Linked DNA regions of Cricetulus griseus. The protein of the gene in region 1 purifies or fractionates together with the protein of each later gene. This does not show direct contact. Links are inferred from orthologs where the notes say so. Each region holds a gene or a part of one and is shown in the gene's direction. Other genes may lie near its edges.

The links.
Region 2: the proteins of Nepro (region 1) and Rpp30 purify together in Homo sapiens (affinity purification with mass spectrometry; 3 studies listed by BioGRID and IntAct, counting the BioPlex papers as one, with this or other methods). This does not show direct contact. The link is inferred for Cricetulus griseus from reciprocal best matches to the Homo sapiens genes RMP64 and RPP30.
Region 3: the proteins of Nepro (region 1) and Rpp25l purify together in Homo sapiens (affinity purification with mass spectrometry; 3 studies listed by BioGRID and IntAct, with this or other methods). This does not show direct contact. The link is inferred for Cricetulus griseus from reciprocal best matches to the Homo sapiens genes RMP64 and RPP25L.

Annotation. Positions count from the first base shown.
Region 1 is NC_048597.1:45,708,911-45,714,011, reverse strand, and holds the end of Nepro (nucleolus and neural progenitor protein), read left to right. Parts: intron 1-1,805; coding exon 1,806-2,065; intron 2,066-3,505; exon of another isoform or gene 3,506-3,684; coding exon 3,685-4,150; 3' UTR 4,151-4,309; downstream 4,310-5,101. UniProt on the Homo sapiens protein: May play a role in cortex development as part of the Notch signaling pathway. Downstream of Notch may repress the expression of proneural genes and inhibit neuronal differentiation thereby maintaining neural progenitors.
Region 2 is NC_048596.1:25,690,814-25,695,878, reverse strand, and holds the start of Rpp30 (ribonuclease P protein subunit p30), read left to right. Parts: upstream 1-1,934; 5' UTR 1,935-2,000; coding exon 2,001-2,082; intron 2,083-3,307; coding exon 3,308-3,363; intron 3,364-5,065. UniProt on the Homo sapiens protein: Component of ribonuclease P, a ribonucleoprotein complex that generates mature tRNA molecules by cleaving their 5'-ends. Also a component of the MRP ribonuclease complex, which cleaves pre-rRNA sequences.
Region 3 is NC_048595.1:100,887,221-100,891,513, forward strand, and holds Rpp25l (ribonuclease P protein subunit p25-like protein), read left to right. Parts: upstream 1-2,080; 5' UTR 2,081-2,117; coding exon 2,118-2,249; intron 2,250-2,265; exon of another isoform or gene 2,266-2,458; intron 2,459-2,664; coding exon 2,665-3,189; 3' UTR 3,190-3,462; downstream 3,463-4,293. Other genes in the region: Dctn3 (dynactin subunit 3), read left to right, coding at 193-252, 418-507. UniProt on the Homo sapiens protein: May be a component of ribonuclease P or MRP.

The DNA of each region.
Region 1 (5,101 bases):
AATAGAAGATCCTTTGAGGACCTGACACTGCCTTAAATGCTTATGTGTATTAACTCCCATAATCCTCAGAAAAACCCCATTAGGTTGATTCTTGCATTACTGCTTTCATATTTTAAAGGAAGAAACTGAGGCATAGACAGTCTCAAAAAGTTATCCAGGCCACATGACAGGGATCAGGTTTGAATGCAGAACCCATGGTTCCTTAATACAGAATCTTTGAATTCTGGTCTCAGGAACTGTGGTGTCTGTGGGCCTTCCCACCTCTGCAGCCTAAGAGCCAGTTCACATGGGAGCTGGGCTTCATCTGGTTGGTTGGCATACTCCTCATTCAAGAGAAATTACTCTCATATTCTAATTGGCATTCATAGGTGCAGCTTGTTTTTAGAGCAAGTTATTGATCACAAAACAATACTAGAGTGTCTTTAATTCATAATTATTTCTTTAGGTACCTGTTGAGTGTGGGAATTTATTTACTTACTATTTATTTGGCTGAGTCTCACTATGAAGCCCTGGCTGGCCTGGAACTCAACAAATATAGGCCAGCAGACTGACCTCATAGAGACCTGTCTGCCTCTGCTTCCTGAGTGCGGGGATTAATGGCATGTCCCTCCACAGATTTGGAAAGAAAGTAAGCTTTAAATGGAATTTGGGTAGACTTAGTAGGTGGAATAATCTTCATAAAGTCAGAAAAGCTAGTAAAATCCGAACTTGACTTGCTGTAGAAGAGACTGGAGAAATAAAGATGCCTTGTTAAAAGCGGTGCAAGGTTAGGAAGACCGCACACTTAATCATTTTGTCCTGTTCATCAACTAGCTGACAGCCCTATGGTGTGGGGCACTTTCCAGGGCTTCCCATCTTTATTGTTTTTAGTGATGTTTATGACCCATCTTGAGGATTGTTCCTGTGGGGATAGGAATAAGTGGAGAGCAAGTGAGTCCAAGTCAGTCCTGCTGGCACAGGCCGGTTATCCCTGCTACTCAGGAGGCTGAGGCAGGAGGATGGCAAGTTCAGTCTTGCTTGTTGAAGGGTTACTTGTTGAAGTCCTGTCTCAGAATAAAAACCTTAAAAGGGCTGGGGATACAGACCACTTGCCAAATGTGAGCAAGGTCCTAAGTTTAGTCTTCAATAAAAGAAATAAAGTCAAATAAAACAACCTTCCAAACAAACTAGGTAGTTCAGAGATGTCATTGTTAAAGACTTGTGATTCCCCCCCCCCATCATTATCCTTTGACTAGTATTTAATCAGCGTTTTATTTTGTATGTCACATATGTGTATGAGAGTATCTTGGATTTTCTCTCTTTTCTTTTTGATTTTTCAAGATGAGGTTTCTCTTGTGTAGCCCTGGCTGTCCAGGAATTTGCTCTGTAGACCAGATTCACCCACATCTGCCTCCCAGGTGCTGGGATTAAAGCCACCACTGCCTGGCTTTATTTTGGGTTTTCTGTGTACATTTAATTAAAAGGCAGATAGGACCTGCCTTGGTAGAGAGGTAAAAAAGTAGTGTTAGGAGAATGAATTAAAAAACTTTTTTTTTTTTTTTTGGTTTTTCATGACAGGGTTTATCCTGTATTGCTTTCGAAGTTGTCCTGGAACTCGCTCTGTAGACCAGACTGACGTTGAACTCACAGAGATCCACCACCTCTGCCTCCCAAGTGCTGGGATCAAAGGCGTGTGCCACCAATACCTGGCAAGACTAATTATTTGAAATTAAAAAAAAAAATGAATCAGCTTTCCAAGATTCTTGTTCTTTGTTTACAAGTCAATACCATTTTAAATGTATCCTTCTCACCTTTTTATATTTCAGGAGACGAGCCGGGAGTTTAAATGTTCTCAATCCAGATTGAAGACAAGCAAACTTTCCTCTCAGAAACTGACACGAACTCTCTGGGCTAGCAATATTGTGCAAAGAATCCGAGTGACCAAGACTTTCACCCAGCTTTCTGAGGAAATCCAAACGGCAGTCATGTGGTGCCGGAGCAAAAAGCTCAAGGCTCAGGCCACCTATCTGGGCAACAAACTTCTCAAGAGTAACAGGCTTAGGCATGTGGAAGCTCAAGGTTATAGGTAAGTATGTTAGAAAATTCCTCCCCCCTTTCGGTAAGAAAATGTACGTATGTGCGTTACCGCCTTTGTTTAAGGTGGGATGTCTAGCAGCCCTCGGGGTGCTAAAATAAGACCTACTCAAAGTATAGTTGCGTGTGTTGCTCATGGAATCTGGGAGGTTGTGTCATGAGGCAGAAAATGAATGACAAGTTCACTGGACTTAACTAATTTGTACCGCATCATTCCTGCTGGTTCATTTCAGAAGGCATTATTAAGGTTGCCTGGGGCCTTCAAAGCCTGGGGCCAACAGCGTGCAGCAAGCAGTTTTAGTCCTCAGGCACTCATTTTCTAGTGGGAGGTAGCATTCTCTAGGCAGCATCAGCACAGCTGGGTGAGATAGTCAGAGAAGTGAGTGCTTCTGCCTGTGAGGCCCACACAGGTTGTAGGGATTAGGGTCAGGTTTGATGCTTATAGCAGCTGGATGCTCACGTATTGATATATTCAATTTATCGTGGTTCTTACAAGGATCGATGAGGACACAAATCATAATGATGAACAGTTAGCAAGAGGGGTAACAAACTCGGGTTTATTGCTTAAACTATTACTCTCTAATTCCCAAAATATAGTGACCATATTACCCTATTACTATGTTTTTTTTTCTTTTCTTTTTTTTTTTTTTTTTCTTTCTGTAGTACATTTTGTAAAACACTTAATGCCCACAGTAGTCTGAAGAGTAGGCATTGCCATTCCCATTTTGTACATAAAGAGGTGGTATTGCTCAAGGTATTGGAACTGGAGATCTAGAACTCAATTCAGTTCCTCTGATTCTTGTTTTTGTTTCAGCTCAGAGATGCACCCACTTTTTACACAATAAAAACTCACTGCTATAATGGGTCATGAATTGGTTATTACACAGGTTTTCCTTAAACGATTATGCATTTTTTTTTTTTTTTTTTTTTTTTTTTAAAGAATGAAGGGATTTGGGTAAGGCACATAGAGCCATGTTAATCTTTACCAACAGTGCAGTAGGTAGTTTACCAAGGCCAGAATAAGCCATAAGGTAGTGAAGCAAATGCCTAGACTCATCAGCTGAGTTCTACTGCAGACTTGAAGGGGGTACAGCACAACTCACACTCAGGGTATCTGACAGCTGTCAGTCTGTCTTCAGTGGAAGACCTCCCTCTTCACTTTTATTCCCTTGCTCTGTTCATCTATGCCATGAACTTAGCTAGAGATGCATTATGACATACTCTAGAGCTTCCCATTTGGGATATTTTGCAGTTTCCACTTGTTTACCCTAGGAACTGATTATCAGCATAAGGGAAAGGCCATGCCTTTCAAATGTGGAGGTGTCTCACCATTTGTGACCTTGTTAGGTAGTTATTGGGAATTGTGTTGAGGGTATAATGGAGGCACATTTGCCTGCATCCTGAAGAGGCAATCAGCTTGAAAAACATACTCTTAGGTTGGAACTCCCATTGCTTTATTTTGTATATTTGAGGTTATACATACATACATACAGGCCTAGGGCTTATAACAAATGGTGTACTTTTCTGTTGGAAGTTGGTGCAGACAGTTAAAAGTGCTTGATAACTTTTTAGCATCATAATAAGTTGAGATTTTTCTCTTCTGTCCTTTAGTTTGCCAAAGAAGCTACAGTGCATGAAAACATCTCTTTGCAACTGCCTTCTTCGAGGCTCCATTATCAGCACTTCAAAGTGTTCTCCTAGACAAAAAAGATCAAAGCATAAAGTTTTATCGAGACAGAGGAAACCGCAGAGAAAGTTACAGTCAACTCTTTTAAAGGAAACTCAGCAGGAACCTGAAGGGACTCTGAAGAGCACTAGGGACCCTAGTGCTAAGTGGAGCCGCTCAGGTGGGACAGTTCAGAGGACAGATGTCTGTCCTAACAGAAAGCAGGTCTTGAGAAGACTTTCAAAGTCTGTCCTGAAAACAAAGGAGCCGGGGTTCCATGGGAATCTCACAGCAGGCAGTAGAAATGAAACTGGTTTGTGGACAAACAGACAAACACACACACACAGTGTGCCACAAGCTGCTAAAGAGGCAGATGACATTGATGATATTTTTGCTTTGATGGGAGTTTAGATGTGCACATGTGAAACTTCTGGGCAGTTACCCAGATCGTTCAGGGTTCTGCTGTTTTAAGTGGAACTGCTGAGAGCTGGAAACACTGCTGGGGCCAGGAGCTGCTTCTCTGCAGCATTCCACACGCGTGCTTGCCAGTTCAATAAACACTTAACAGCTGCTCTGTGTCAGTTAATCACTTAGTATTTATTTGACTATGACTGCGTAGATTGTGAAATATGATAAAAAGTCTGTCACAGCCTACCCTGAATCCGTACCTTCTTGACTAAAGCAGGTAGGTTTCTGAAAATTAGATGAGTTTATGATTTACTAGGGAGTTAAGATCTTAAGTTCAGAAAAATCTTACATATCTGAGGGTAAACAGGGAGCAAGGTTGGAGTAGCAAGGAAGTACCATAAAGGGTTACTTGGCCTCACTGGCCCCATTCTCTTTTTAAAGTTTTGACAGTTTGTGTGTGTGTGTGTGTGAGTGTGTGTGCGTGCACATGTCTGTGGATATCAGAGGATAACTTGTGAGAGGTGGTTCTCTCCTTCCACCTGCAGGTCCCAGGGTGCAATTCAGATGTCAGGTTCTTTTGAATAACAATGTGTGTGTATGCCAGTGTATGTTATGTTACTGAAATGAATTATCAAAAAATTTGCTATTACTCGAATGGTTAAAACTTGTTTAATCTTCACTTTGTCACTGTATATTACAAGGCTTTTGGAGTTTCCTTTATTCTTGTTTCTGTGGAATGCAACAAAGAAGTAGGTGAGTGTATGAATAAGGCCCATCATAAATTTATAACCTGGTATCAGTATCATCACGTGACTTTGTATATACCAGCACAGCTGCTCCCAGAAATGATGGTCATGGAAAATCCACTTGGCCCTCAACTATTCCAGGGTTGAGTTTCTTAGGAGAAAACACAGGAGTCTTCCCCTTGCCCTCTGTAGTGACCAGTTGTCCTAT
Region 2 (5,065 bases), on another chromosome or scaffold:
GCTTCCTCTCACCTTCCTTGACCCTTTATTTCTCTTCATTTTCTCTCCTTTACCTGCCATCCACAACTGTCCTCTCTGCTTGCTTATCTCAGGAGACAATACACTGCGCAGCAACTGAGCCAAATGCTTCAACCCGCCATTATATAATTGCCTAATTCTTTGGTTGCTCAAATGTCAAAAGAAATAGATGTTGATTTAAGAAAAAACAATACTAATTGCTTTGAAAATTAATAAGACACACACACATAAGTACTTGCAAATGGTCTGCCCCAGTATAGTGCTCAATTATTTTCATCCGTTCATTTTATTTCTCACCCTTTCTCTTCCTCTTCAACAAAGCTCAGGGTATAGAGCAAAGGGATTCTAAATGGTGAAGTCCACAGCAACATCACCACGACTTTAAAACAAATATGTCCTCTTCAACCTAATCTCAGCATCAAATAATCAAAATTCTTAATCTTAACTTAGGTCCACTACACTATGGCCATACTACTGACCAATCCAGATTTTGCGATCATGTATGAAGATGCCTTTCTACTTGTACAAAAGCCAGCACTAGACATTCTGTTGAAAAGCCAGTGGTTTGTTTTGTATGACTTTGCTCTAGTGGCAGAAGTTGTTTTGCTGTTGTTTTGTTTGGGGGAAATACCAAACAAAACAACAATTTTTTTCTTTATGTAAATTAACCAAAGCTAGGTGTGGCAAAGCACAGCTGTGATCCCAACGCTCGGGATTCTGAGACAAGAAGATTGTGAATTTGAGCCCACCCTGGGCTACTAACAATAACCTGTTTCAAAATAACAATAATAATAATAATAAATATTCTCTCAAAAATCAGTAAGAAATTAGAGACCATTATGTTGAAGAGTATTACTCAAAGTGTGATCAGAGGGGAAGTCCTCATACTGTTTGCAATCAGTACAGAAATTGAAATGTTTCTAAACCTTTTCAGCACTTCGTTATTGTCCTAATGGTCAAGTCCTACTGATCGATAGACTTTTCTTATTTGAGAACCCAGCAGTTCAGATATCATATTACTGAGCTGCAGGAGGCTGGGGCAGCTTATTGGTAATGCATAAAGGATTCCCATGCTAGCCAGCCAGAGACAGAATGGAAAGGAGTAAAGAACTGCCCTTCTGCATCAAGTGGATTAAAAAGAATGCCAGCATTTTATGCCGTCGGATAATTGATCTGCCAATATTCAAAAGTTAATTTTTAAAGTAGAAACATCAAATGATATTGCAATATGTCTCATGAAAATTTGTGTATTGTCGCTAAGCTTTCATCTTTGAGAGTGCCCTGCCATCTTGTGGTTGTAGATGTTTCTATAACAGAGACCCATTATCTTAGGCTTAGCCCAAAGAACTAAAACAATCCGCCCCAGAGCAAGCGCTTCAAAGAGGCTTTTAAGCCCATTTTCAAAGAATGGAATGGACATTAGAGAAAGGAAAGAAAAACATTTTCCCATGTCTCTTCATGTGCTTATCAACTTACCTACTTTGGAGACTTATGTATCCCTCTCTGGCCTGGATGTCACCGTGTAGATCAGGATGGCCTCAAACTCATAGAGTTGCCTCAGCCCTCCAATTGCTGGAACTGAAGGCGTGGGCCACCACCCCAGGCTCACCCAGCTCTTGGAACAGGGCTTCACGACCTTAGACGTCTGCTTGATCTCAAAATGCTCTATGGGTGTGTTTAGAATGAATCACTTTCTACTCTGTTGTATTGGCGAGAGGGGCGGGGGGAAAGACCCTACTGTGTCTACCAAACATTCTCGTTCAAATCACGACAAAAAGGGAGTAAGTGAGGCTGTAGGTTCGAGCACACTAACTTTGGCTGGTTTCTAGAGGACAGGAAATACTGTGCAGAGAGTAGACGACTGAGAAGGGAAAAACCACAAATCCCAGGATGCCAAAGTGACAGCCTACAACTCCCAGCATGCTCGAGGAATAACAGGGCGACTGCGCAGATTGGCGCGCGGGTGCTCCTGGGACGTCAGCATGGCGGCGTTCGCAGATTTGGACCTAAGAGCGGGCTCGGACTTGAAGGCTCTTCGGGGACTGGTGGAGACCGCTGCTCACCGTGAGTCTACTGGCTTCGCCCCGCGAGCCCGGCCCCTCGCTGCCCCCATACCACCGGTTTGCTTGGTAGTTTTTCCAGGCCCTATTATTGGGTCTCTCGTGGGATTGCGGCATTTCCCTAGAGGCAAATGGTAGTTGCTATGTCTCCCGGATCCCTGGCGTGTGAAACTCACAGGCTACTGAGGAAGCTGCCGTTGCCTGGGCTTGCACAGTCTTTCCGTGCGGAGGGAGAGAACAGAGGCCAAAGGGGTCGAGGTGTTGGCAAGGGGGCTGTGAGCTGATGAATGGTAGGCTCTGGGACTGGACTCCAGGTGTACAGTCCCCTAAGCCGGTGGGTGCTTTTAACGTCAGTCCTTTTGGGCCCCGACGACATCTGACAAATACAGAAAGCTGGGTCGCAGGCAGGAACTGCTGTGGACTCTTAGAGAATGGGGAGGGTGTTACCTTATTTCTCCCGAGTTTTAAGTTCCTTGGGGATGAGCATTAATCATGTGTGCTGTCGCCTGCCATAGGGTCTGTCAAATAATGGATGCTCTAATAGCTTGAACTCGGGAGTTATTAGACTAGTTTGCCATTACCATGCACTATCTTTTATATTAATACTCTATCATCTTGTTGGTCTTTAGACAACTTAAAGACAAGAGTCGTGATTTAGATGTGTTGGCGACAGAGGCACTTTTCCAAGCAGTGCTAACTGTTGTGAGGATAAGGCAAACCGTCGTTTTCCCTGTCTTTTACTGTAGAGCACCTCAAAAGAGGTGTAAGGGATTCGTCCTTCCATTGCACCTTCGGGTAAGGGAGGAAATAGAGCATCGCAGAAGAAATGAATGATAATGAAGGTGACGGAAAGACACATAAACTTGATGGAATAAAAATGAACAAAGGGGCAGGAAATCCTGAGAATATTGTTTGGAAAGCAGAAACAAGGTGTTTTTAGTGTTTTGCTAGCATAAATCACAGCCTAAATATGTGCCTGGCACTCTTCTAAAATGCTTAATTTTCATGACACTCTGAAGTGCTGTCTGCTGTTAACATCACTTGACAGATGAACAACCTGAAACATAACAGTAAATATTATTAAACCCTCTTACTTTCCAAGTCTAGAAACAGAATCCAGGGCTTTGTGTATGCTAAGCAAGCATTCTAACACTTAGCTACATCCCTAACCTCATCTCATACTCTTGAACAAGAAAGAATATTTTTTAAATAATCTATTTTTTTTTCAGTTGGATATTCAGTTGTTGCCATCAATCATATTGTTGACTTTAAGGAAAAGAAACAGGTAAAATAAGATTTCTCTGATTAATTAGTAAATAAATATTAAGACTTTACAAGCCCAGCAGTGGTGGCACACGCCTTTAATCCCAGCACTCCAGAGGCAGAGGCAGGCAGATCTCTGAGTTCAAGGCCAGTCTGGTCTACAAAGCTACACAGAGAAACCCTATCCCAGAAAAAAATATCAAAAACAACATTTACAAATATTTGTATTTGTGTTGGGAATAAGGAACTAGAAATGTGGACTTGTTGCAATGACCACATACTTAACAAAAACAACACAAGGAAGGAGGAGTTTATTTTCTTATACTTTGAAGGTATGGCAGCAGGAGCATGAAGTGGCTAGTCACAGTTCCTCCTCGGTCAGGAAGCAGGAGATGAATGCTGGGGCTCAGCTCACTTTCTCCTTTTTAGTTAGTTCCCTTAGAACTCCAACCCATGAAATAGCTCAGTTTGCATTCAGGGTGGGTCTTCCCTCCTGGGTTAACCCTTTATGGAAACACCATTATAGAAATACAGAGGTGTGTTTCCATCATCATTTCTAAGTCCAGTAAAATTGGTAGTGAAGCATAAGTCATCACAAGCATGTTTGCGTTTTGAGACAGAATCTTATGTGTCCCAATCTGGCCTGGAATTCAACTGTGTTGCCAACGAAGACCTCCTGCTAAGATTACAAGCCCATGCCCAGTTTATGAGATGCAGGGGTAGAAGGCAAGGTGGTGTGCATTTTAGAAATCACTCTACCTCTACTTACTGAGCTGCCATGTGGCAAGTCTTCTCTGTACTGCTAGCTCCCAAATAGTGAGACTTCTTATTATGAAAACTTGGCCTTAGCTGAGGGTTGTTTCTAACTAGCTCTTATGACTTAACCCATTTCTGTTAATCATCGTGCTGCCATGTAGTTTATGGTTTTTACCTCTCCTCCTACACGTCATGCTTCTTCTGAGTCCAGCTGTGACTCCCCCTTCTTCCCAGAGTTCTCTCTGTCCAGAAGTCCCACCTATACCTTCTACATAGCTGTTGGTCATTTAATATTTATTAAAACACAGTGACATATCTTTACACAATGTAATCAAATACCTTGCAACACTGTGTCTCCACCCTCTCTACTCACTGGGCTGCATCCCCAACCCTCAACTATACTTCTTTAAAAACACCCTATGCTTACTCTTTTACAGTAATAACTGAACTAATATATATCATACAAATTCAAAGATGTTTAAAATTACATTGCTGTTAAATGAGCTATAACCACGATATCTTGTTACCATGGTCTTATTAACTCATTTACTGATTTTTTTCCCATTTATTTATTTATTTATTTATTTATTTATTTTTCCGAGACAGGGTTTCTCTGTGGCTTTGGAGGCTGTCCTGGAACTAGATCTTGTAGACCAGGCTGGTCTCAAACTCATAGAGATCCGCCTGCCTCTGTCTCCCGAGTGCTGGGATTAAAGGTGTGTGCCACCACCACACCTTTAATAGACTATCAAATACATATGTATGCATACTTATTTTTAATTAAACAACTGTACCTTATAGGTCATTTCTGTCTTTAAAAATTGTTCTTATTTTTATCCTCTGGTGTTCTGAGCATCTTCTCTGCTCTTTAGTTTCTTTCCTTAAGAAAGAAAAAGGCTGTTTAGTACATTTGAATACCAGAAATTAGCTTTTTTTGATTTTTTTTTTCTGAGATGCCCTTAAAGTGT
Region 3 (4,293 bases), on another chromosome or scaffold:
AACCGCCCCTCCAGTTACTCTTTGGGCTGCTGTTCAGGGCACCTGACCTAGGATTGGAAGTGCCTGTTTTGCAGTTTTCTCCTTTCGCTCTAGGTTATTTAAGCACCATCTTTTTTTAGGTTTGGAGGGAAGGAGTTCAGTGGGAGATGAGGCATTATTCCACTCCTTTCTAAGCTATGCTTTGGCCTACAGGACCAGTGTATGGAGATCAGTGAGGAGTCCAAGGCTCTCCTGGAGGAATATAACAAGACTGTATCTTTTGTGCTTAATGGGCCCTCTCCCAAAGCCTGTTTCTGCTGCCCCTAATGCGCCCATCCCATTCTCTCCTCTCCTCTCCTGCCTTCACCGCTTTGGGCACATGCCAAATCTCTGTGCTTCCTCATTCACACTCCTGTTGTCACCTTGACTTCTGACCAGACAATGCTTCTCTCCAAGCAATTCGTGCAGTGGGATGAACTACTCTGCCAGCTAGAGGCTGCCAAGCAAGTGAAGCCAGCAGAAGAATGACAGTTGCTTACTGTGCCAGGCCAGGGAAAGGGGGGCCAGCTCCAGGGCCCTGTGCCACCCTGTCTTTGTGAGGCAGAGACAGCTTTGTATTTATTCAATTCAAAGACTACCTGTCTGCTCAGTTGGGGCTCTGAGGTCAGAGATCAGGTTACCTTAGAGTCATGATTTGCACTCCCCATCAGTGTATTTATTCCAATGACAATAAACTGTAGCTACCGCTGAAGGTGTGTTTTGGCTTGCTGATCTAAGATGGGCTTGGCTGTGAGAACTGGAATGGTGAAGGGGAGAGCTGTCACTATCAGGGTGGGACCTGGAACTACTCCTGGTCGAGCTTCTGAAAGATGTAGTACTCTTGCATCTGATTGATACAGTGGGGCATTGTATATTTATCCCACATTTTCCAACTGCCCTCTAAATATCAGATCCTACGGCACGTAAGGAGGGCACAGGTAGGGTCACCTCATTTCTGTATAGGGTTTGGGGGAAGACCAAGAAAGTGGTAGTCCTACCAGGTGGGGCTCAGCATGCCAGGATGATCATGGAGGAACAAGCAGGGACGTTCAGAGCCAAGGCAGCATAGCCTTGTGTCTACCGAATACCAGAAGAGGAGCCAAGAGGCTTGGATGCAGTGAATTTTAGGATCTGGGAAGGAGGAGCAGATGATGGGAAAGCTTGGATGAACAGTTTAAGCACCGCGCTCCACCAAGTGTATGCTGCCCTCTTGTGGCCTGAGGGAGTGCCTCGGCTCCTTCAACTGCCTGTAGACCAACCAATTTGTAGTTTTGCTGGCACGCAAAATGCAGCTTGTCCAAAACGATCTGAAACTAGCAGTCATCCTAGACTATTCCAACAAATAGTTCCCGGCTCTTTCCCAGAACTTCCTACGAGTTTTTACCAAGTTAATTAATCTCTTCTCAATTCTTGCCATTTCGGTGGTTAATCAACATGTTGGACAGATGTTGCAGAACCTGTTTCACTCTGAGTACTGTACTAGGTTCCGTGGGCACCCTCCTACCCCCGCGCCTGACGCGTTATGATGGTGCAGGGTACAGACCCTTCCCAAGGTCACGGTATCTGTTGCCCCCACTACCGGATCCTCCTAGCCTATACGCCAATCTATGGCCAATGAGTTGTGCACAAGTTATGGCTTAGTCCCTTCTGAAGACTACCAGGGTTGTCCAGTGCCCCAGGATGAGAACAAAGCTCAGAACTAAGGGTCTCGCCCGCTTGTATCCACCAATGCTTCAGCTTCTCCTTCACCGATGCGGTGAGTCAACAGGTGACGCGCACCATCCATCGTTTAAGGGCACAGATTCGCATTCTTCATGCTCAGGACTCCTCCGATAGCCATTCCTCTCCCGGGCAGGGCCCTCTGCGGGTTCTGGCGTGCTTCGGCATCACCGCGGACCGCGGGATGCGGGCCAGCTGCGGGTACCAGCTCAGCTGAGCCCAACGGCGTCCCGGGTTTCCCTCAGGCCCCGCCCCCTGCGTGCGCGCTCCCGCGGCCCCGTGCGCTCCCGGTCTGCGCGCCATCTTGGGTCGAGCGTGGACGGGCGGTAGTGGTAAGAGCCAAATCCCAGGGCCTGGGTACTCAGACGTGGGGAAAGGGGATGTCTGCTGCCTGGGACAGCGGCCCACGACCGGGGAGCCCGCCAGACCGTCCATGTTTGGTCCGAGCAGTGGTCTGTGCGAGCCCCCACTCTCGAGTTCCCGAATGGCCTGGCTCAAGCCCCCCAACCCTGGTAATCTAAGGATGAAGTCTACTCAGCCGGCCGAGAGCCCGGAGGGGCCGGTTCTTTCTTTAGGGAGTACTTTGTGAGAGTTCGTGGCTGTGCCCCAGGCAGCCTGGGGCCAAGTCTTGATTCTGTTTCCTGGAAGCACACAGTGAGAGGAGCTTGTCCGAGTCCTTGGAAGCCTAGTGAGGAAAGGCTCCTGTTTTAGAGAGTTGTGGGTGAGGAGGGGTCTGGCCTAGCCCTGAAAAGCTTGAGCTGATGAAGCATGGCCCTATCCCGGATAGCCTGGTTTGGGGAGTGGGGGGAGTTTGGTTCTTTCCGTGTGTAAGACTCTCCAGCCTTGGGGTGAGGGGTATATCCTGGAGGGAGTGATGGAGGATGGACCTGGTCATAGTCCTGACACTCATCTGACCGCTTCCCCCAGTGCACAGCAAGAGAGATTCACCAAGGCCACCGGAGCAGAATGGAACACTACCGGAGGGCTGGCTCTGTAGAGCTCCCAGCATCTTCACCAATGCCCCAGCTACCTCCTGACACCCTGGAAATGCGAGTCCGAGATGGGAGCAAAATCCGAAACCTGCTAGGACTGGCTTTGGGTCGTTTGGAGGGGGGGAGCACAAGGCATGTGGTGTTCTCAGGCTCTGGCCGGGCAGCTGGGAAGGCTGTCAGCTGTGCAGAGATTGTCAAACGGCGGGTCCCAGGCCTCCACCAACTCACCAAGCTTCGTTTCCTGCAAACTGAGGACAGCTGGGTCCCAACCTCACCAGACACAGGCCTAGACCCCCTCACAGTTCGACGTCACGTGCCTGCAGTGTGGGTGCTACTCAGTCGGGACCCCTTGGACCCCAGTGAATGTGGCTACCAACCCCCGGGAGCGCCCCCAGGCCTGGGCTCCATACCTAGCTGTGGTCCCAGACCCCGAAGAAGGGCTCGGGACACCCGGTCCTGAAGACCTGCTGAGCCTGACTGTACTCTAGACCTGATTCTCTGTGCCTTCTGTAAGAAGGGCTTGTGTGACACTTAACATGCCAGCAAGGCTTGAGTCCACTGGAGTCCTGCCTCCCCTCCCCCCTGGGATGCGGGATGCTATGAAGAATGAAGGGCATATGGGGTCAGTGCTGAGTTACAGACTGCTTGAGAAGGGCTTACTCTGTCTACAGTATATCTGACTTGCCTTTTTTGACATCAGTCTAGGAGAGGGAAATAAAGGTCATGCCCATTTGTTTGGCCTGCTTGTGTGTAAGTGGGATTGGAGGGGTGTGAGGCCCGCCTTGCCCCGGAGCTCATGGCCTGGAGGCCAGAAGGGTAGGTAGAGGCCGCTGCTGGGTGGATCTGGTGTCAATACATTTCAAGCAGTCACCTGCATGACTTTTTGCCACCTGCTTTAAGCTGGCTTGGGACTCAACCAGGTCAGGCATTTCTCCCATCTGTGTCATATGTTTTAGAATAGTGGGATCATGAACTCGGGCTTTGCCTGTCACGGTTTTAGTCCTGGCTCTCCCACTCACAAGTTACTGCTTTGTAGTTTTGGATAAAGCTACTTCCTGGACCTTTGTGCTCCCATCTGTAAAATGGGGTGTAGAGGGTTTACCTCATTGGCATTCTTTTTTAATAATTTATGTTCATTGGTGTGAAGATGACAGATTTCCTGGAGCTGGAGTTACATACAATTGTGAGCTGCCATGTGTGTGCTGAGAATTGAACCCAGGACCTCTGAAACAGCAGCCAGTGCTCTTAACTGCTGAGCCATCTCCAGTCCGCCCCCCCCCCATTAGAGTTCTTATAAAGAGGTGTCCATATTTGACACTCAGATACCACCTGAGCACCTGATGCTATATAAATGTTGTAAGTGACTTAAGTTTACAGACATGCTGTTTTTTATCTTGAAAGTAGACCTCAATCCCACATCTTTCTTTGGGTGTCATTCTTGCCTTTTTTCCATTGCTGTTTTTTTCTGCCTCACTTTGGCCTTGGATTCAGATTTACTGCAGGTATCTGAAGAGAGAGAATGGTTATATTGGTAGTCAGCAGGCTCCAGGTAATAGAGTGGAAT